2 linked regions of the Caenorhabditis elegans genome follow. The protein of the gene in region 2 purifies or fractionates together with the protein of the main gene of each other region. This does not show direct contact. Each region holds a gene or a part of one and is shown on either strand. Other genes may lie near its edges.

Region 1 (12,521 bases), on a different chromosome or scaffold from region 2:
CTTCTCCTTCTTCGCATCACCAGCCTTTTTCGTTTTCTTATCAAGGCATGGAAGGTTCAAAGCAGTTTTGCGGAACCACACACCGACAACAGCTGCCAAAATGTTGACGGCTGTGATAATTGCAAGTGCGATCCAAGATCCAGCGGGTTGATTGTCGAAGATCAAGTAGACGAGCCAGTAGACTTCACACGCGGCGGTTACCACTTGGAAGCTGATGTAGACTGCCACCCAGACTGAAATATTACAAGCGATTTTTTGCAAAAGTTGCCGAAGACATTTCTGTTAGTTCCAAAAATGAATATTTTTCTTTAAAATAGACAGAACATTTCAATATGTTGAAATATCACGCAATGAAAATGTCTAAAAATTGAATTTCCTCCTAAATGAGATGCCACACCCTCTTTCGAGCCAATCAACGACATCGAACTTTGTACACTTCTACTGATTGGTCTCGCATTTGTCAATTTGGAAGAAATTCTGGCATATTCTGAGTATTTTACAGAAAAATCATAATTTTCCGATCTCCACGTGGAGGTGCCTTCCATGCAGTTGACAACTCAATAGAAGCAAAACTAACTGTTTGTCTGTGTCACAATGTACACAATTCCCGGAATTGCCACCAATGCCTGAAGAAGAGCCATAAGGTAATGAGAAGCCACCGGATACCCAAATGAGATTCCGACGGTTGTCAGAATTGTGATCGCAACGCACAAGCCGAATTGAATGAAGATGATTGCTTGGAGAATGGTCACAGCTACGGAACCATCTTTTGTGAGTGACATGTTCTTTTCCTGATGATGATTTTGTTGAGAAGTGTTAATGATGGAGAAATAACTTACTCAAAATGCTATGATAGAGATGGAAGTTGTCGATGAAGGACGGAATGATTCGGGCGGTATTGATGATAAACATTTTTTTCTTTCTGGACTTGCAATTTGGAATACGTGGACAATTGAAATTGCGGGGGGGGGGAGGGAAAAAGTTCACGTTCAAGAAATACAAACTATGAATTTGATAGGAAACTGGTCAGTATGAAATAATCTACGTGTAGATAGGCAGGCAGGCCTACCTGGCCACCTGCGTGCCTAATTTATGCCTGTATGTCTCCACTGAAACCTGAAACCATCTGTGACCAGAAACCCGGATCTTCCGAATCGAGACCAGGCGGCGTTTAATTTGTCATATTTTTCAAGGAAGAAATGCAAGAATTGTTTTTCCTAGAATTGTTGAGCGTCTGTTTTTGGTAGGCAGACACATTTTCAAGCTAACGTGGATCTGCTCACATCATAATTCCTTGGCTGCCTACGTGCCTGCCTGATGACAAAGTGTCTGCATGCCTGTCTTTGCAAAGGGCATGCCTAGTACCTACAATTAGCTCACATGCCTACCTACTGTGGGAAGTGATTTCAGCTTTATTTCAAATTATTTAGAATTACGACAACTGGATTCTAAAACAGAAAATCGTGGATAAATTTTAAAGAAAAATAAATTTTCAAATCGAATAACCCGTTCCACGTTTTTTTTAAAGTAAAATTTCAATTGAAAATAATTAAAAATTGAGATGTATTCATTCCCTCATTTTCGTCGTTAAAAAGACGAAAAAATGAATTCTAAGAAATCGATGAAGAAGGATTCAAATTCAAGTTCAAATAAGGAAACGAAGCATGAAAATTCAAATGTGTCTGTTCTCGAGATTGTCGATGAGCACAATATTGGTCCGAACCAGAAGAGGGATCGATTCGGACTGTGGCCTGAAGGCCTGTATTGCGTCTTTTGCATTCTCTTCGGAATTGCTCAATTTTATGCTGCCACTTCTAATTTCGAGTGAGTTGGATTTTTGAAACTTTTTGAAAGTTTGAACATTTTTCAGAACCCGGGAAGTCGCAATCATAACGAGAAGATGTTTCGCAGCTGTTGATGTCAGCTCCGCCCTGATTCCAAAAACTAAAATCCAATTTTTTCAGATCTTTGCTGGTTTGCTCGCATTTGTTCTAATTTTCAAATCGGTCCGAATCATCTACATTGTACTGACGGTTTTCTCAGGAATAACCATTGGGCTCGAGTCGTTGACTTTCATGGACACAATCTATTTGCTTCAACGTTTGCCTTCACTTGGCATCGATAAGAAATATGAGAATTGTGGTGAGAAGAGAATCATTTTTAGACTTTAACAAGAAAAAACCTTTTTTTTCAGTATTTTATCTGTTCATTGTCGCTCTTGTAGTGACTCTTTGGAAAATTGTTCTCGGCATCTTTTGTTTCTATGTGTTTTTGATGAGATCTTGGTAAGAAATAATCTAATACTCAGATGCGAAATGTTTCGATTTTTATCACAAAACTACAAGACCCGGTCTCGCAGCAACAAATTTATGTTAAGAGGAAAAGGGCGTGCGTCTTTAAAGGCGCCCGTTTTAAATTAAATTAGATTGTCGTGTCGAGACCAGGTACCGTATTTTTAAAGTAAAAATTGTACAATTTCGCGTCTGGGAGAATCAACTTTATAAAGTAATAATTATAATTAAATAAATATAATTAAATTTGAATTTCCAGTAAAAGTCAATTAACTCTGGAGACTGAAAGAAGAAAGAAAAGAGATCGCTCGTGTACACCTGAGAAAAAAATGGGATCGACCGAAATCGCTGTGATGGATTATTGAAAGTCTGGTGTCTGAATAAAGAATTTCTCAAAAACAGTTCATATAAATAGAATTATACAACAATAAAAATATTTATCAACAAAACTTTTCGAGGAACTCATTCGGCACAAAATCGAATTCATCTACCGGTACTCTTCTCATTTGAATTCCTTTATGAATACCCATCTCACTGCGATATTCTATAACACACGCATCTCCGTCCTTCTCAAGGCAGTTAAGAATATAAGTGAAAATTGTGGAGAGAAACTCGAAGCCGGCTCTGAAATTCCATGAGGCTCGCTGTGGGATCTCTCGGGTACGCAGTGACGTCAACGATTTGACGTGGCCTTCCTGTGTTCGAAGTCCGACGATGATGTGATCGACGTTGACCAATGATGATTGAAGCCACCATTTGAAGGATTTTGAGTATTTGTAGAATCCATGACCGAGCTCGCCTTTCTGAGTTTTTAGCTCGAGCATATTTCCGTGTCTATCCAGACAATCAACTTCTCCCGAATAGAATATCCCAATTGACCTTTTTTCAGGATTAAGACGTTGATCAGTTTGAAGATCATTCCGAAATACAACTGCATACTCTTCTTTCGTTGTCACTGGACTTGAAGTGTCTGGTTGTTCCTGGAAGTTAAATGGATTAAAAATTATTTGAAGTTGGATTTCTTCTTGATTTATTATGAAGACGCATATACATTTTTCTGCGTCCCAATAATACGTACCGCATCATCGTCGAGCGTAACATATTGCTCGAACTTGTGTCCCCAGTAGCTCATTCTTTTGTCCAAGTCGGTTTGATTGAGATCTCTTAAATAATGTTACTATTGAATATTCAAAGAAAACACAAATTCTTACCTATTTTTGGCCTGCTCTGTCTTCTCTTCACACAGAAAAATGACGCCTTTTCGTTTAATCGCGTCTATTCTCCATCCTTCTTCTTTATTGTAAATTGTTGAACATATCTTTGTAATCAATCCTCTCCAGCATACTACATCAGCCTCGTGAATAACTTTCTTAAGTCTTCCACCTTCTGGAGCCATTTGATTAATCCATTCAAGAAGCATTATAATCTTTTCATCTCCTTCTTTTGGATCAAAAGTTTCAAAACCTTTTCCTAGATCCAGCGACAAATTGTTTGGAGGAAGTTTATCATGGAACTTTTTGGCTCGCATTCTTCCAAGTTGAAGCTTCCTGAAAATTATCAAGTTTTCAAAATCTCTATAATATCGGAAACCTGTCATAATTGATACAGTACTCTGAGATGAACTTTGCTTGTTTCTCGAATTTCGGTGGATTTCTTGTCTCGTAAATCATATTGTCAAACGGAATTTGTACTTCATCTGAAACATTATTCATTTTTTAAAAGTTTTCAAGAGTTTACAAACTCACTAGGTAGCGGCTGACCAGTTATCTTCGGAATGTGTTTAGAATCTGATTGTTGGAAATCTTTTCGTCCAAACTGGTGTGATGAGTTTCCACGTGGATTTCCGCCATAGTGCGACATTTTTTTAGTGTTTTCTAAATGATTGAATTTTAATGTTTTTGACAATTTGGAGCAGCGGTAGACCACAATGTAGGGTTACTGTAGGATTACTGTAGTTTGGAAAAGTTGGAGATTTTGAGTTTAAGATTTTCAAAAAATGCCTTTTTTTTGTCGAATTGTCGAAAATTCGGAAATACGACGAGTGCCAAAAATTTTCCATGGCATCCTTGATTGGAGTTATAACCGATTTTTTAAAGCTTGAGGTATATTTTAAACTTCTGACCATACGACAATTATTTCTTAACTTCCCAATAAATCCGGACATATGTTTAAGCATTTTATAGGTGTGGCATTAATGATATAGTTGATTGTTACAAAAAATTTTGGCAAATGAAATTTTTTGTCAAAATATTGATTAAAAAAACAGAGAGATAAAATGATAATATTAAAACTTGAAAGTGGATAGTACAAATAGTTGTGTAAAATTATAAAATTTCCAAAATAACAGAAGCTTCACAACATCCATGGAGTGTGAGTAGAAAGAAGAGTTGTAGAGCAGAGAACAATCAAGGAAAGAACTTATAAAATGGATAGAAAAAAACTTAAATGAAAGAAAAAGAAATGAAGAAAAACTTAGTGATGACTCGTGTAATCTGGAAGATCATTGAAGTACGACGTTCTTTGGGTCAAAAGGTGCTAAAAATTGTAGTATTTTTGGGATCAGCGGTGGGTGGAAATTACTTTTGGCAATTCCATAAATTGGCCAATATTGTTCATTAAAAATTAGTCTCAAAATAGAAAATTAATTTATTTAAAAATATGAAAATAACATTTATTTCAGCTGAAAGATTTGAAAATTGCACAAAAATAGTCTGAAAGTTTCCAATTGCCGAATAGCAAAATTCGACAATTTCCAACTTCCAGGTAATTTTTAATCATTTTTTCAAGTGTTTCAACTGAAACAAATGTTATTTGCAGAAGAATCAAATTATTTTCTATGTTTTCAGACTAATTTTTAATGTCATTTAGTAGAATTGCCACCCACCACGATTTGGTATAGTTGATTGATAAATGGAAAAGAGATTAAACACAGGATTTCCAAAAAGAAAAAGATACAAGGAAAAAAGGGGATAATCTAATTAGAAGATGGTATATCTCGTTGGCGATTTTTCCATTCTTTTTTCAATTGCTTATATCGAACCATGGGCAATTCAAAATCTTCTAATTTCCAGTCAGGGCTGACCATAGCGATGAGATTTATTTGTTTCTCGAATAAAGAATTCAATTTCATGTCGAAAATGTACTGATGGTATTTGTTGATGAAGCCAGTCTGAAAATTATTTATGAAAAATTCAAAAATGCGTTCTAAGTTAAGGCAAATCTTGGCAAAAGTGTTGAGATGCTTATTTTAGTACGCTAATTCATTTTTTGTAGAATCAAAGACTCTGAAAATAATTTTCATTTTCGTTGAAAAGAAGTTTAAAGGTTTTGATTCAAAAATACTGTACTAAGCAATTCCGTACGTTTGCCAATCTAGTCCTGAATGTTCAATAAACTCACCAAAACTCTAGATTTCCATTGTGCTGAGAAGCATCCAGGGCGTTGTCCAGCTTCAGAGTAGAAACTTCAAAAATTGGGTTTTAATATATGACTTAATATTATAACACTTACTGTCTGCATAGAATATTGAATAGTTCAGTTTTTCCACTTGGGAAGAATATTTCTGAAAATGTCGATATAGGACATCCTTCCAAATCCAAACTTAAAGTGGTATTTCCGACTGTTGGAATAGGTTTTCTGGGTTTAACCGCAAAATCTTTGACATTCATCACAGACATCTTTTTATTATATTCGTCCGTTTCCGTCTTCGTTAGTGGATAGTCAAGAATTGTCATTTCGCCATATTTTTGAGCATTCTTCGGAAGATTCAACTGAAATTTGTAATTTTGCTTTAATTTTTTTTGTTTGCGGCGACAAGTTTTTTTTAGTGTTCAGTGCAGGAATCACTAGAATTATCTGAAAATAACTTTTTTTCAACTAAAACATTCGAGAAAGTGTTCAAAATTACCTGAAATTCAATAATTCGATAATTGGCAATCAGCAACTTCCAGGACATTTTTTGAGTACTTTTTCAAAATTTTCAGCCAGAATAAATGTTATTTCCAGATAATTCGAGTGTTTTTCTATATTTTGACATTAATTTTAAATACAAATTGTTGGAGCAACATGTCACAATAGAAAATTTTTAATATCGTAATCAAGGCTGGGATTTTTTGTTTTTTTTTTCCTGTTTTTGGAGTCAATTCAAAAAATTCAAAAAATATAATGAAAGGTTCTCAATTTTTCCTTTCTCACTTTTTTTTTTTTTTTTGGGTTTTTGAGGGAAAAATAGATTTCGCCTTCAGGAAACAATTTTGTTCGCTTTTTCAGAAATACATACAAATTGCTTCTAAAAAGAAAACAAATTATGCAATTTTTTCGAAATATCGGAAAAAAGAAAAATCTTAAAGTTTTGTTTTATTTTTGCAAAAATCAGTAAATCGAAACAAAAAATTCCATTTTCGATTTTAGTGAAAAAAGCGAAAATTATTACAACTTTTATGTCTTTTTTTTAAAAACAATTCTTACTTTTTCTTTTCTCAGGAACTCAATATCTGAATACATGTGAGCATTATTCATCGGATATGCTTCCATAAGACCTTCGATTTTTCCATTTTCTTCGCCATTCAGCTGGGGCACTAAGTCATTTGCTCTGCAAATCATATATTTTTTTACTGGATTGCATTAAATCAAATTACCTGTTCATATAAACATAACGAATATATGGCATATGACCCGAAGATTGTATAAAATCTAATCCATATTTCCGTGTTCCACCTGGTGCTCGATTTCTCGCAGAAAAACATGGTGAATCATCTGAATCATCTTCAATCGTAATAACCTCAATTGGAACGGAAACTGGAGTTTCTTCTCTAACTCTGATCACTCGGGTAGGTTTTATTGGAATGCTTCGTTGAGTTCCAGGACGGTAGGAACACGAATTTTCCAGCAAAGTGACACCAGTTTCATTGAAATATGAATTGATCTGAAATAATTGCACTTAAGCTTTGAAATTATAGTTTTTTAAGAATTACCTTCGTCGGATCGACTGAAAAACACGGCCATCTTGAAGTGAGTCGGGTCAAATGTCTCTTACGTCTTCCGCATAGCTTTTTCGTTCCAAGGAGTAACTGCTTGAGAGTGATTGTACTGTAATTATATTTTCTAAACAATTTTGAAGAACAGTTAGATGATCTATGGTTGGATAGAAACATGAAGTTCCGCGAATATCCAATGTAGTGAGTGATTAACTATAAAATTTAGATGATTTTTTTTGAAGTTCTATCCGGTGTATGCAGATTGCCTTCTGTAATTTTGGACAAAACCCCCCAGTTTTAACTCAAAAATTCTGAAATGCAGCTTCACGGTTTTCAAAAATCACGACAAGCTATTTGGAAGGTATCAATTACAGCCAACTAAGAAAAAAGAAGAAATGCACCCGAAATTAGAAATTCTGTAAGGGAAAAAATCCAGCAAACTTAGTGATTTAAAAATTAGATATTCAAACAAAAAATCAGGTGGTAGGGATCAAAAACGAACTCTTCATATTGCGATCCACAATCCTCATCGCAACTCGTTCCTGGCTCGACGGAGATTCTGAAAATGATGGAAAACACAATAAGCGTGCGGGATTACGGTCGTGCAAAAACCAGATAAAAACAAAATTAAAAAAAGAGAAAAAATCGAATTTCTCACCCAGATTTTAGTGTCGTCCTTCTGGATCGCGGCTGCCATGGAGAGAATTTTGAAATGTCCGGTCTATCGAAATAATTATGAGTATTTGAAGAGAAGATTAGACGAGCGAGATGAGAATCCTGTAGAAAAAAATCAATTATTTATAAAAGTTTATTAACTCTTCATCGTTACCTCTTTGTTATAATTTGTATCGCTTATAAACTCCAAATGCTTAACATTATTCATCCAAGCATTCTCGAGTTCCGGTTCATCGGCCTTCCCGAAAATTTTCAAATACGCTGGCTTTTCTTCTCGATCACTGGAAAAATCAAGAGCAATATTTTTCATTATACAATTTTTTTTGAAAAAATATTTTCTACCGTATACCCGTCAATTTGAGCGCGTGTTTCTCGAAAAAAAATGTTTTTCAGTTTTTTATTTATTTTGACAACAGTTTTCGCTCAAAATCTTCAGAAAACCCCCTTTTTAAAAAATTAGCAGGCCAGTTTAATTTTATAGATTCACCTTCGGATAAATTTTGGAAAAAAAAACTTTTAAAGTATTTTAATTTTTTTTGAATTTTTAAGTTTTTAAATTTTTGCATTTATAATTTTAAAGCGACTTACAGTAAGATAATACGTTGAACTCCGTCATTTAGGCAGTTAATTTCAGCATCCTTATCATACATCAAAGTGCACCCAAAACGAACAAGTTGCTGAAAGTTTTCTGAGGAAGCAGCCGTTTCGAATGATGCTCGAGTTGATTTTCCTCCTACAAAAGAAACTTTTTATTTAAAAAAAAGAAATGATTTCACTCACTTGTCCCAACTCGATTTTCTCCAAGTTTTGGTGTTTTTCGTTTCACAATCACTGCGAGATATACGTTTTTTGCCTTTTTCAGTTCAGGGCCCGTCAAAGTGATATTTTTTACATTTGAACTGTTATAGGAGATAGATGGTAACGTTCTATTCGCCATTGGAATAACTGAGATTCCATTTTCAATGCAGGTGACTGAATCATTATCGTCGACAATTATCACGTAGCTTTGAACAATTGCAGCAGAAGTAACATCTGAAAATGTTCTTTTTTTTAATGAATTAATGAGAAAATAATTTTAAAACCGAAAAAAACTATGTGTGTGTGTATTTTTGAATCTTAATTTACAATTAGAAAATAATTTCATTTTTTTGGAAATATTGTTCTTACTTTTTGAAAAAAAACCTCAAACATTTCAAAATCATTAAATTTGCTTTAAACTATAGGAAAAAAATAATTTTTATAAATTTTGTGTGATTTTAGGAAATTGCAAAAACTGAAAAAAAAAGCGAATTCCGACATTTTCGCGTTTTCTGGCTATATATTTATTGAGTTTAATTCATTTTTTGTTTTATAATGCAAATCAGAACTTTTCAATTTTTTTTGACTTTTTTAATTAAAAAAATAATTTTTTTTAAAACCAAATTTCAAAAAGACTTTTATTTCTTGTGAAATATGGTTTCAATCAATATTGAATAGATATTTTTAGTTCAAAGTGATTTTCTGTTGGTCTTTTTCGAATTAAGTGTTTTTATCGAGATTTCGTTTCAAATTTTTCAAAATTTTCAAAAATAAACTAACAAATCTTCTCATCCATCGAACTTCCCCAGGAGGATATTTTCATGAATTGTAGAGTACAGAAATTATATAAACCATTTTCTCTGTGCTGAAAGAAAAATTTATTTTGCAAATGAATCCATCAAAAATTCAAACAAACCGCATCGGTCTTTAGTCGCGGGAAAAATTCATCGATGCTTTTAATCACACGCCTTCTACACACATATTTCTTTCCAAATAATAATTGTTTGTCGAAGACATTACGAACGAGAAACTTGTTATCTTCCGGCAATCCATATTTTTTCACATAATTGCGAATTTCAACTGAAAAAATGTGAATTAATAGAAAAATTGAGATTTTAATTAATGATTTTTAAAACTAACGTCCGTCACTGCAAGTCGGCAACGTTTTTTGAATATTTTCTAATTTGGTAGGTGGATTCTTTCGTCTACTGGAGCTTGTGACTGGATTTGAAGATTCCCGAGAACTTCCGGCCTCTGATGAAGTTGGAGTTGACGGAAGAGATTTGTTCAAAAGATTTTCTTTTTCTTCTTCTCGACGAGCTGACCTCGATTGTTTTGTCTTGATAAAAACCGGCTCATCTGCAAAAATAAGCTTAAAGTATTAATTCAAAAATGCTAAAAATTACTATAATTTGACAGAAAAAAAATTAATTTCAAACTATAGACAATTACTTTATTGATCTGAAAATAACATTTATTTCATTTATTTTAGCATAAAATTTTGGGAAAGTGTTCAAAAATGGCCTGAGAGTTGCCAATTGCTGATTAAACGAAACATCGAATTTCAAGCCATTTTTGAACAATTTTTCAAATTTTTTCAGCTTAAATAAATGTTATTTTTAGATAATTCAAGTAATTTTCTATTTTTTGACACTGTTTTGTAATAAAATATGATGGAACAAAATGGCACAATAGGTAATTTTGTAGAATTGCCGAAAATAATTTTCACTGGTGGAAAAATTAAGAAAACAGGAAAAACTTTAATTATAATAGTTTAAATTACAATTTAAACAAGAAGTTAAATAAAAAGTTTCAGGCCGAGTTTCTCGAATAAAAAATTAACTATTTTTAAAGGTGAGCGTTGTGTTAGAATACGCGGGTCTCGGCGCGATTGGGATTTATGTTTCAAAATTAATTAAAAATTGATTTTAAGAATTTGATTTTTGTAAATTCCAGTAAATGTCCTATTCTCCAACTAACCATTCTTCCGTTTTCTCCCTCCAACTTTCACCTCTGCCGTCGCCGGAGTCATACCCTGCAATGATTTTTTGTGTTTTAAAATAGTTTAGCAAAGATCGAGATTATCGATTTATCTCGAAATCGCCAATCAGAGAGAGAGAGAGAAAGAAAAATGTGAAACGAACAGCGCAAAAAAGATATAATGTCAGATGAGAGAGACTTCGTTCTGGGAAACTGAGTAGAGAGTATGTCAATTGAGGAGACGCAGAATAAAAAAGAAATTCACATCATATTCAGACAGACGGCTGGTTCGATAAGGAATCGAATGAAGGAATGCGTGGTTATTGCCAGTCAAACAATTTGTTCATTAAAAAATTATACCTATGAAGATTTGTAAAACTTAATGGTTGATTAAAAATGTACCGTAAGAACCTTTTTGCAAAATTAAAAAAAAAATTTAGAAAAGTTCTATGCATGTTTAACATCTATATTTGGTTATTACGGTCCATTTTCTGTCATTTTGAGCAAATTTACAAAATGACTATACTTTATTTTAATTTTATTAACTTTAGGATTATAAAAAATATGTTTGGCTTGATATTTCACAGATATTTCGGATGAATTCTCAATAATAATTTTATTTATTTAAATAGAATTTCAAAAAATGTACGCTCTTTGTTTTTAGAGCCATGAACAACGCGTAGAGGTAGAAAGCGAGCAATGCACTATGCATGTGCTTAAAAACTTTAAATATTAAAAAAATGAGTCATATTGGTCGCGTTCAAACAAGAGCGGAGAGCACGACAAATCAATAAAAGAGAAGGAGCGACGCCTACTCGAGGGAAAGGAAGAGGAGCGTGCGCATGTCTCCGCGTTCGAGAGTTTGGAATTATAATTTGGAACGGATGAGAGACTGAAACCAACGAAATTATATTCCAAGTTTTACAATGAAATTAAAAATATGTCAATTGAAGTTATAAGTTTAAAGAAAAAGGATTCAATTGTTGATTTATCGAAATCACGCTGTCATACATTTTCATTGAATGGAAATGGATAAATTGTGTATTCTTGTTCTCACAGAAAAATAATCTGCGAAGAAAGAAGTAGAGCTGAAAAATGTATTACTAATTTTCTACAGTAAACTCAAAGACGCATAGGCAAAATCATTTTGTAATATTATTACCGTGGCGAGACCCATCACGTGAGTGCAGATACAGTGTACAGCGGAAACATTAGGTCATTATGAATATCAAATGAAAGAAATCGATCCAAAAAAGTATGAAGGGTGCGAAAAAAAGAGCAACAAGTGCATTTTTTAGCTGCCCACTCTTAGAAGTGTGCACTTTATGACATTATAAAACTACATCAAAGGGCAATATAATTGATGAGTTATTGAACTAGATCTAGCTAGATTATTGGACATTTTATTACACTTTCGCTGCGGGAAGAGGGAGTGTTCGAACAAGAGATTATTATAAATCTATTTTGAAGGGAATGAAGAATAAACCTCCATTCGATCGAATTTTGGAATATTTGGCGATTTTTCGTGATTTTCTTTTGATAATTGTACGTTCGAAAAACAATAATTACAAATTATTCAATGAAAAACCGCGAAACTGAACAATTTATGGAACTTTAGAACTTTCTCAAGAGGATAACGGCGGTTTCCACTATTTTACAGTGAAAAATGCATTCATAGACCACCAATAATTTGTTTTTAACCAAAAAAATCAAAAGGATTCCCGTAAAATCATGAGAAAACACGAAAAACCTCTACAAACATCCAAAATTAAACAATTTATTAATTGTCCGAGAGGAGTAC
Region 2 (8,837 bases):
ACGAGTAATGTTACTAGTTTGCAGACTTGAATCATTATTCATTTTTTCATTGCCTCTTTCCTTCGAACAAAGCAGATTATGACGTTCATTGAAACTATGTGTAGTTTCTTCAGCCGTAGAGTTTTCAAAAATAAACAGGCTTCTATGTGATGCTTCTGCCGAAACAAGTGGTTGGATATCCAATTCACAACCAGCAATATTTTTTGGTTGAAATTTTTGAGTGCTCATTTCTGCGATTTTGTCTTGTTGAATGCAGGATGTACAAGACTGGTTAAGCATGGCGTTTGAGGGGTTGCAAGAGCAATTGAAACCATCTTGGGAGATACTAGATTGGCTCTTGATGATTTTTGATTGAGCGCATGATGATAATTCAATTTTCGGAGTTGCTTCAATGTTGTGTGTATTCGAGGATGAAATGTTATGGCCGTTTGAGTTTTTAGTATTTTTGACAACTTGCACGTGGAAAGGCCGTGAAGCGTCTGATGTCTTGATCTTGAATAAAAACTTAAATTGTCTCTGACCAACTTGACATTTTGACACGTTATCAACAACTGATTCGAATGATTCGGTAGTACTTGTTTTGCGGTATTACAACACTGGTAGGGTGTTCAGGTGGCATTATGGCCGGAGAGAATATAACTTTATCTGAAAGTTTGCAATTGTTTTGTAAAAATGAAAACATGACTTACGGATAGGTTTCGCTACTGATGCACTATTTGAATTTTGATGCCCTTCTTTCTCAAAATCGATTCCGATGATGTTAGCATTTGAAGTACCACTGTCGGTATCACCCCGTCCCTATTAAAGATTGTAATGTTGTTAAATTGTATTATCAAGTATGAATGTGTTTTTTTTTCAGAATAAGACCTGTTTTTAATTTTCAGATCTTATAAAATCTCTCTATAACAAGCCGTGTCTCGGATTACATAACTTGTTTATTTTTCTAAGAATGTCAGATTTTCTTTGTAACCGTTATTGTCTTTTATTCAAATATTAGATTGATCAGATTGTTAAACTATTTATGAGCAGCAAACGTTCAAAACGCAATTTTTATCTAGTTTGTTAGTGCAACATATTATAGAAATTTATTTTGCAGAAACTAATCTAATAATCCAAGTTGAATTAATGACTTTTTCATAGCTCTATGTGAGAAGACTACACGCGTATTGTGCAAAAAATAAATGTCTAACTTTGCGTTTGATTTTCAGAATTCATATATTCCTAAAAATATTCAAAAATAATAAATATAACTAGTTCAACAACTTTGTCACGATTGTTAAAATGGACAATGCAGTTAAAGAGGAAAGAAAACCAAAAACGTCAGAAACTTTCAAACTATAAGCATAAAACAAGTGTGCCAAAACTTTTTAATAAAATTCTTATTTCAAAAAAAAACATACAGTGCTGGCCAAAAAGATATCCACTTTTAGTTTTTTTTGATGATTTCGCTACTTTTTCAAATAAGTATAACTCCAAAGCATAATAAAAATTCACTTACAGTACTATTTTGTTTTTTCTCTTCATCTGATCCTAAAGTTACGTTGATTTCTTCGCTGGCAAAAGTAGACATGTCTTCGTTTGTGTCCATTGCTGAACAATCTATCTTGTGAAAAATATTTTTACAGTTGAGTTTACCATCGGAAGCGTCAATATGCAAATCCTTGGATGCTTGAAATAAGGGCTCCACAGTGGTCTCGCTCATATTTTGGCTGTAAGTTCCCACGATTGGAAGGCTTTCCTGATTTGACAACTCATTGCTTCTTGTATTTGGACCCTGACGATGTTCCTGAATGAATCCCATATACCTAGCTAAAAAGATCTTGCAATTCATTCACTCTCTACTACAAAATTGTATGAAGAAGAAATTAACTAATGGCGAAGTTTTGTTACTAAATCACACCGAAATAGTCATACCCTAAAATTCAGTAAGTGACGAATAAAACTTGCAGCAATGGCAAATTTTTTTCTCCTTATGTGGTCTATAGAAATTATAAAAACCAATAAGGTAACTCACTTTATATAGATTTTCTGGTTTATTTGTAACGATTTGTCTGGTTGGCACCTTTCTCTTGAGTTTCTTTGCACATTTTGATACTTTGGATTGCTTCCTGAGTCGACGCTCTTTTAATTGCGATTTTCTCATTTTCTCACTAATTTTAGTGACAGATAAAAATCCGCTCCCTAGCTTTGGATTGTAACTGGGATCGTACGAGTCGTCGGATGATTCATCTGATTGTGAGTCTAAGAATTCAGGGTCCATGATTAACTGAAAAAGAAACATTTAGATCAAGGAACAACAAAACAGGACGGAAATAAGCTAAGAGAATGGGCACAGATGCAAAATCATGTTTTGATTCATAAACCACGTGGTTCATGTGGTTCATACGGAAAAGTTAGAATACGGCGATGTAGCGCATACATACATCTGAATGTGTTGCGAAGATATATAGAAAGCTAATTAATGCTTTTTTAGTTGCTATGGGAGACACGTGTGAAGTTGCGAAGGTGAATAGCAAAACCGAGGTAGCCGAGATCTTAAAGGTGGAATAACGGTTTGGGGGTATTTTACGTTTATATACTCAACATAAGCTCGAATCATAAAATCAGAAATGCAATTTAACCACTCCGAAACCAGACTTTCGGTGGTTTCGCAGAAACTACTTTCGAATAGACTGTGGGCAAATCGGTTCTGAACGTCAAGTCATAAAATGTAAAGAATTAATCAAAATAGAGAAAATAGAGAAACAATTCAGGCACAGCAAAAGGAAGGTCCACGCTGGCCAGAAAAATAAAAAAAATGGATAAGAAATTGAAATATAGGGAGAAAAAAAAACAAAAATAAGGAAACTAGCTAAAAAAAATCCAAGGTGTAAAATTCAAAAGAACAAAAATTTAAGTTACGAAATGGATAATTGAGATTCATTAGTGGATTTGACGCATAGAGGGTACACTTATTGCAAAAGTGTACAAATATAATTGATGTTTTCATACTTGATAGGGGAGACACGTGAGGAGGAGTTAATGAGTTGCGACGTCAACAAATGAAAATCTACCAAAATTGCAAAAATAAACGTCAGGGGTGTTAACTTTGCTCCTATTGTGAGAGTCATGTGTGAAATCAAAAGATTATTAATGACGTTTTTAACAATTGATATATTACGTGAAACAAGTTTTTCTAGAACGCGTATGTGAAAAACCTCGAAATATAATTTTTTCAGATGCATAATCAAACTCATTGTGAGCTTTCAAAAATAGTGAGATGTGCCGTTATTATGTTTCTGAACAATTCATACTTTATGTTGAAAAATTGTCAGTTGGAACTGGTTGAACATTTTTTTGGGCGTGCCAAAACAGTGTTACCCAAAATTCTAATGCCAACAACTTGAAACATGTTTGTAAAATTTGTAGAGAAACAATTTTATAGTGGATTGAAGTGGGACAACTGGGGGGTTGTCTTGTGAGTCAATGCAATTTTTTATTGTCATAAAAGCGTTAAATAAGTTTGATTTATGCAAAAAATATGTTCGCAGTTTTGTATCAGACACATTTGTTTTAGAACAATAGTTTTCAAGTAACATTATATTATTATCAAAAAATAACAATCGCACAGACCACGTGGCTTTTGTTTTTTATTTCTTTTTTATTTACGCTCCTCCCACGTCTGACCTTTAGTTCAGTTTTTAAATTATCTTTGAAAATAAAGTTGTGGGAAGAGCGTAAATAAAAAAGAAATAAAAAACAAAAGCCACGTGGCCTGTGCGATTGATATTTTTTGATAATATGTGGTTTATTTTTTCATGTCTTATTGAAATGTTTATTGAACTTATCACAAGTGTTCAAAACAACGATTCACATTGAGATGTCGTTCTTTGTGATTTCGACAAATGTGAACGCATTGGTGGACTGACTATGACACCTAACACAACGAGAATGGCCAAACATGATATTGCAAATTTTTACAGTTTGTGATTCAGTTTTATTTTTTTTTTGTTGGATGAATTGAAAATTTAGTATTCTTTTTTCCCTTTTTTCCAAGTAAGTGGCAGTAAAAAAATTTTACGGGGATGCAGAATTGAATTGGAACCTGTTCAATATGCGTACCACAAAATATCACAACATTTTCAAAATTGAAAAACTAATACCTGATTTTTTTTATTTTTAGATTTGCTAGGAATCATGATTTCTGAGCCTAGAAATGAAAAAGTTTCGGAAAAATTATTTGTGTGAATAAATTTTCGGAACAATTATTCATTTCAAAAATAAATTCATTAACAGCATTTGGGGAACAGCAACTACATGATTACCATCACATGTGGTGTCAGATTTTTGTAGATCAAGCCGTAATCCTATATCCACATGGCACCGCCCTTGCTTGTTTCCTGCAAAGTGCTAGCTGACACTAAAACTGTAATTTTCAAATGTTTTTACTTGCATGAAGGGAATGTTCGTTTGCAAATTGCATGAACACAATCAATATTAGAGTGGTAGCACATTTTGAAGCTTTTTAACAATACAGATTTATATTTGAGACAATTATGACACGAAGTTTTGCTGTCATACTTTTAAAAAAAGTGTAGCTTTTCATTGGATAGTTTGAAGACTGACATAACCCAACATGACGATTTAAAAAATGCATAATGAGGATAAAAAATTTGAAAACATTGAAAGAGAAATGGGCATAATCCCGAAGAAAAGATCGGTCAATAAGAGAAGGTACATTTCTGTGGCAAAAAGCGTAGGGAACATGAATGATTTTGGTGAGGTGAATTTTGTTTGGCAACGGTTGCAATACACATTAAGCTATTAATAAAATTAGAGATTCGTGAAACTTTGTCCATCACTTCCAGTTAAATCGACGCCATTGTCATGATTGTTGTGGTAATTCACATTACCATCCGGCGCGATATATTGGACGTGGTCGTGATATTGGTCGTAGGTAGACATGGGTTGCTGATGCTCGATATAATCCGTTTGATGATCCATGCCATTATTGATGTATCCAGTCGACGTCGACGGCATCGATGAATTGACTATCCCGCCCTTTGGTCTGAAATATTCACACATATTGAAAAATGAAACAATTTTAAATAAGAAAAACTAACTGAATTTCAACTGGCGATGGGAGAACTATTGAGGACGAATCAGAAGTTTCTTCACCAGGTAAGCGGTTCCGGCGTTTCAATTTTCTGGGAGACGTTGTACTGCTGACCATTGATGACGATTCGGCTGCTGGAAAGTAAAAACAATTAAACATTCAAGTTCAAAACATCTTTCCACTAATACAATTTTTTGAAAATCTGCTTACTTTTCGTATTGTCAAAACGCCCATCAAGCCCTCTCTTGCGTTTTAGTGCATGAAGATGACGACTTTCGTGGAGATACTTCTGGCGAGCAAGTGGGAGCCGTCCACTGGCTTCAAGCTGTTGCCTCATCTCACGTCTTCGCATAATTCTGTTGAACTGCTTCGGATTGACCAGCATGGGTTGTTGCACTTTTGGACCAATCATTTCTACATTGGGTACTGTTCCGTTTGCTGAAAAAAGGTATTATTCATTGGAACCGTTTAAAATAATTTTATTGCCGATGCAGTTTTGCGGAATATATTTTTCTGGGTGTAAATTTAAATTATCCCGTGAAAAGAAAAAAAATATCTGACTTACGGAAAGATAGTACTGGTAGTTCATCCCTGGGCCGAGCATTGTTAAAAAGATTTGAATCCATTTCCAACGTTTTTGGAAGCATTGCCTGAAACTCTATGTTTGTAGGAGATATTTTCACAATTTATAATCAACCTTCACATCTTCTTCCGTTGCATCCATTGGCATTGGAACCAAAAGCGTCCTAGGTATTCCGTCGAGCACCCATGAATATTGAAACAGCTGAAAACAGATTTAAATTGACTTTAGATCTACATACAAATGTAAAACTCCCTAACCTTGCAGTTTGGCGGCAGTTCTATTGTCGTCGGAACTTTTGACTGATTAATCTCATTGATTTTTCCAGAATCTGAATAGATAAGTATGTTTACAGTGTAGACTTTACACACATATCAAAAATTTACCATACCTAACAACTCTAGTTGCTCCCTTGCTTTCTGTCCATTCTCGGGTTCATTGGGTTTAAAAGATATTGCATGCGTGAATACGGGCTCAGACTCGTCTGTAAATAAAAATTTTGAAATTATATACTTAGCTTCACTCACTTGGACTGTAAAATGAGGTAGTCGTAGATGCCACCGATGTGCTTGGTTCATTATATTGGATATAACTGCCGTTCTGTGGTTGTGATTGAGAAACCGGAGCTGGGCCAAATGCTTGTTCAATTCGTTGTTGTTGTGAAGGTGTAACATGGGACGATCTATGGAATTGTGGGGCTCGAGCTGTAGAAACGCTAGCTGGAGTATATTGAGAGGGTGTAGTTTGAGTAGGCGTTGTTTGTGAAACTGATGCTTGATGAGTTTGAGATCTTACAACTGGAGGTTGGTGGCATTGTGTTTGAACGTTCGGCGAAGAAGTAGCTGGAGGTGAGGGGTTCTGAAATCAAGATAGGGTTAGTTTTATCTTTGAGATTACATCGAAAAAAGATTCATAAATACCATCAGAGTTTTAGCAACATTTGTTTCTCCATTAAATGACATCTCATTGTATTTTTAATTTTACTGTGTAACTCATCTCCTACTTTTTGTCAACATTTCAACATTTCTTGATACTTTTTCATCGACGGAAAGGGACGAGTTTAGTTCATTTGGCAGGAAAAATTAAAATTACTTTTCAAATTATTATGCCAGATTTAAGTTGAGAAAAAAAAAACTAATCTTACCACGTCTTTCACGAAACGCGGTCCTGGTAGTGGAACGGGACGTCTTATGGGAAGTTCTTTGGGTGTAGTATCCAGTGAAGTCCCGATTTTGGATGCCTTCTCGAATCGGAAAACTGTAGGCGGAATTGGTCGCTTTGCCGGAGCTTGAACTGGAGTGGGGCGCTGCACGTCGCCCCTCGACGCTCCATTCATTTTGTCTTGTTTTTTGATGATTGGATTTACCTGAAAATGAAAAATGATTAATCAATAATGAAACATTCCGTGTTTGAGGCTATTTGAGCTTTATATGGTTTTCCGATAAAACGGTGAAAATTGACAAAGTTATGGTAAAACATTATTTTCGTTAAATCAAAACGTCTAAATAAAACTTTCATTCAATAAATGTTAAATTCTCAGAAAATCAGAATAATTGAAAAGTTTTCTCGAAAAAAAAGATGAGAGAAAGTAAGAAAGGTTTTTATAATTTTGAAGTAGTGAATTCTAACGGTGGAAAAAAACTTCATGACTTAAAAGTTTACATTTTAAACTTTTAGTGTCTCTCAAAGTTCAAAAACTATTTCTGCAGAAAAAAAATGGCAAAACTAGTATGCAAAAATGTCTCGTAGTATCGAACCCTAGTAGCAACGACTGCAATCACCGAGACGACCAAATGCACCAATGCGCACTATTTTACGACAAATTCCCCTTCACGTACACGCTCAATGTTCGTATCGATTTGTGTTGACCAGAGAGGAGAGGGAGAAGAGAGAATGTAGTGACCGCAACGCGCACGTACGCACCCCAAGGTTGTTCTTCACGACGATGAATATGCATCCAACAACCAATTGATTTAGGAAGTGTCTGATGATAACGTCCCGAATGGATCATTGCGATTAGCAAGAAGTTTTTAATTATTACAAGTGATTTTTTCCACTCGCTTTTCAGGAATTTTACACATTTCTACAACATCGCTAACAATAATGCAAATGTTTCTTTGATGGCCAATTGTAAGGAGCTTCAAATTTGATCATTTTGACTTCACAATCAGATCAGAGAAGCAATTTATTTCCATTTGGGAGTACAAATCGATGTATGCATGTACATCAAAATAATATTCTCATGGAGGAACCCTGAAAAAACCGAAATTGATTGAAAATTTTTCAAATTCCTCCACAGAAAAAAAGGGAATAAGCTAAAATAATTGAAACGGATAAGCTATCATTTTCCTGGTTTTGGAGTTAAAATCAACAAGAGCATTTGTGCAATCTTGCAATTTCTGGACATCTGTAACATACAGGAGACTTCCACTAGCTGCCGAACTTAGCATTGATTCCTTCGTATCCCGACTTAACTTCAAAATTTTTTTCTGTGCACTTCTTTGCCAAAGTTCATGTGACTTGAAGCTATACAAACCTAAAATGGATAGCATTATGCTTGAAAAGACCCTAATTGCTGATTAATTATGTATTGAGGTATTACGAGAAAAATAACAGTAGTTCGTCGCTGACAATGAAATAACGTTACACAAATTTTATTTCAACTTTTAAGATCAGATTTAAGAAGATCCCAACACATAATTTATAGCATTGGGGTTCATTCTGAAACTTCTAAACAAAATAGACAATACATGATATATTGTTCAATAAAATTATTGTATTAATTTATTAAAGATTTCCAATCAAATACACCTGGCATTTCATTTTGTTTGGTTCCATTGTTTTTTACAACCGCAAAAAAAGAAGGAAAACAACCAAGTCCGCAAACATCTCAGTGACTGAATGCACAGACGGCGCAACGTTTGACGACAGATTAGTGTTTTGAACTGGTCCCGTACAGTCCTCAAGACTCTGTTTCTCATTTCCTAGTGTGCACAGAGCCGCGACGCAACCGCGCACGCTGCACACCATCTGCCGTTTTCCGAAAATGGTCATCTGTAACTTAAATATTCTAGGTGTTTTCTCACAATGTCTTTGGTTTATAAATTTTTTTTGAATTGTTTAAAATTCCATTACGTTATGTGAAAAAATAACAAGTTGGTT

What was found.
Region 1: the proteins of nfya-1 (region 2) and mes-3 purify together in Caenorhabditis elegans (affinity purification with western blotting, with the first as the bait; one study listed by BioGRID). This does not show direct contact.

What each region holds. Positions count from the first base shown.
Region 1 is NC_003279.8:4,995,095-5,007,615, reverse strand, and holds mes-3 (Polycomb protein mes-3), read right to left. Parts: upstream 10,778-12,521; 5' UTR 10,773-10,777; coding exon 10,721-10,772; intron 10,100-10,720; coding exon 9,881-10,099; intron 9,821-9,880; coding exon 9,657-9,820; intron 9,606-9,656; coding exon 9,521-9,605; intron 8,975-9,520; coding exon 8,723-8,974; intron 8,676-8,722; coding exon 8,531-8,675; intron 8,224-8,530; coding exon 8,097-8,223; intron 8,045-8,096; coding exon 7,926-8,044; intron 7,827-7,925; coding exon 7,770-7,826; intron 7,380-7,769; coding exon 7,265-7,379; intron 7,216-7,264; coding exon 6,929-7,215; intron 6,883-6,928; coding exon 6,759-6,882; intron 6,062-6,758; coding exon 5,802-6,061; intron 5,755-5,801; coding exon 5,691-5,754; intron 5,461-5,690; coding exon 5,266-5,460; 3' UTR 4,414-5,265; downstream 1-4,413. Other genes in the region: sst-20 (Sperm Specific Transcript), read right to left, coding at 1-233, 578-782; F54C1.8 (uncharacterized protein), read left to right, coding at 1,604-1,824, 1,871-1,919, 1,965-2,142, 2,195-2,285, 2,551-2,656; Decapping nuclease dom-3, read right to left, coding at 2,732-3,271, 3,370-3,454, 3,503-3,838, 3,882-3,987, 4,037-4,151. UniProt on the Caenorhabditis elegans protein: Component of a Polycomb group (PcG) complex. PcG proteins act by forming multiprotein complexes, which are required to maintain the transcriptionally repressive state of homeotic genes throughout development.
Region 2 is NC_003284.9:11,939,792-11,948,628, forward strand, and holds nfya-1 (Nuclear transcription factor Y subunit nfya-1), read right to left. Parts: upstream 7,048-8,837; 5' UTR 7,012-7,047; coding exon 6,820-7,011; intron 6,534-6,819; coding exon 6,203-6,533; intron 6,160-6,202; coding exon 6,067-6,159; intron 6,007-6,066; coding exon 5,936-6,006; intron 5,880-5,935; coding exon 5,793-5,879; intron 5,746-5,792; coding exon 5,661-5,745; intron 5,534-5,660; coding exon 5,306-5,533; intron 5,230-5,305; coding exon 5,103-5,229; intron 5,048-5,102; coding exon 4,813-5,047; 3' UTR 4,494-4,812; downstream 1-4,493. Other genes in the region: F55G7.3 (BLVR domain-containing protein), read right to left, coding at 545-645, 690-798, 1,499-1,590, 1,636-1,786, 2,015-2,260. UniProt on the Caenorhabditis elegans protein: Component of the sequence-specific heterotrimeric transcription factor (nfya-1-NF-Y) which specifically recognizes a 5'-CCAAT-3' box motif found in the promoters of its target genes to regulate their expression and control cellular identity in particular tissue types.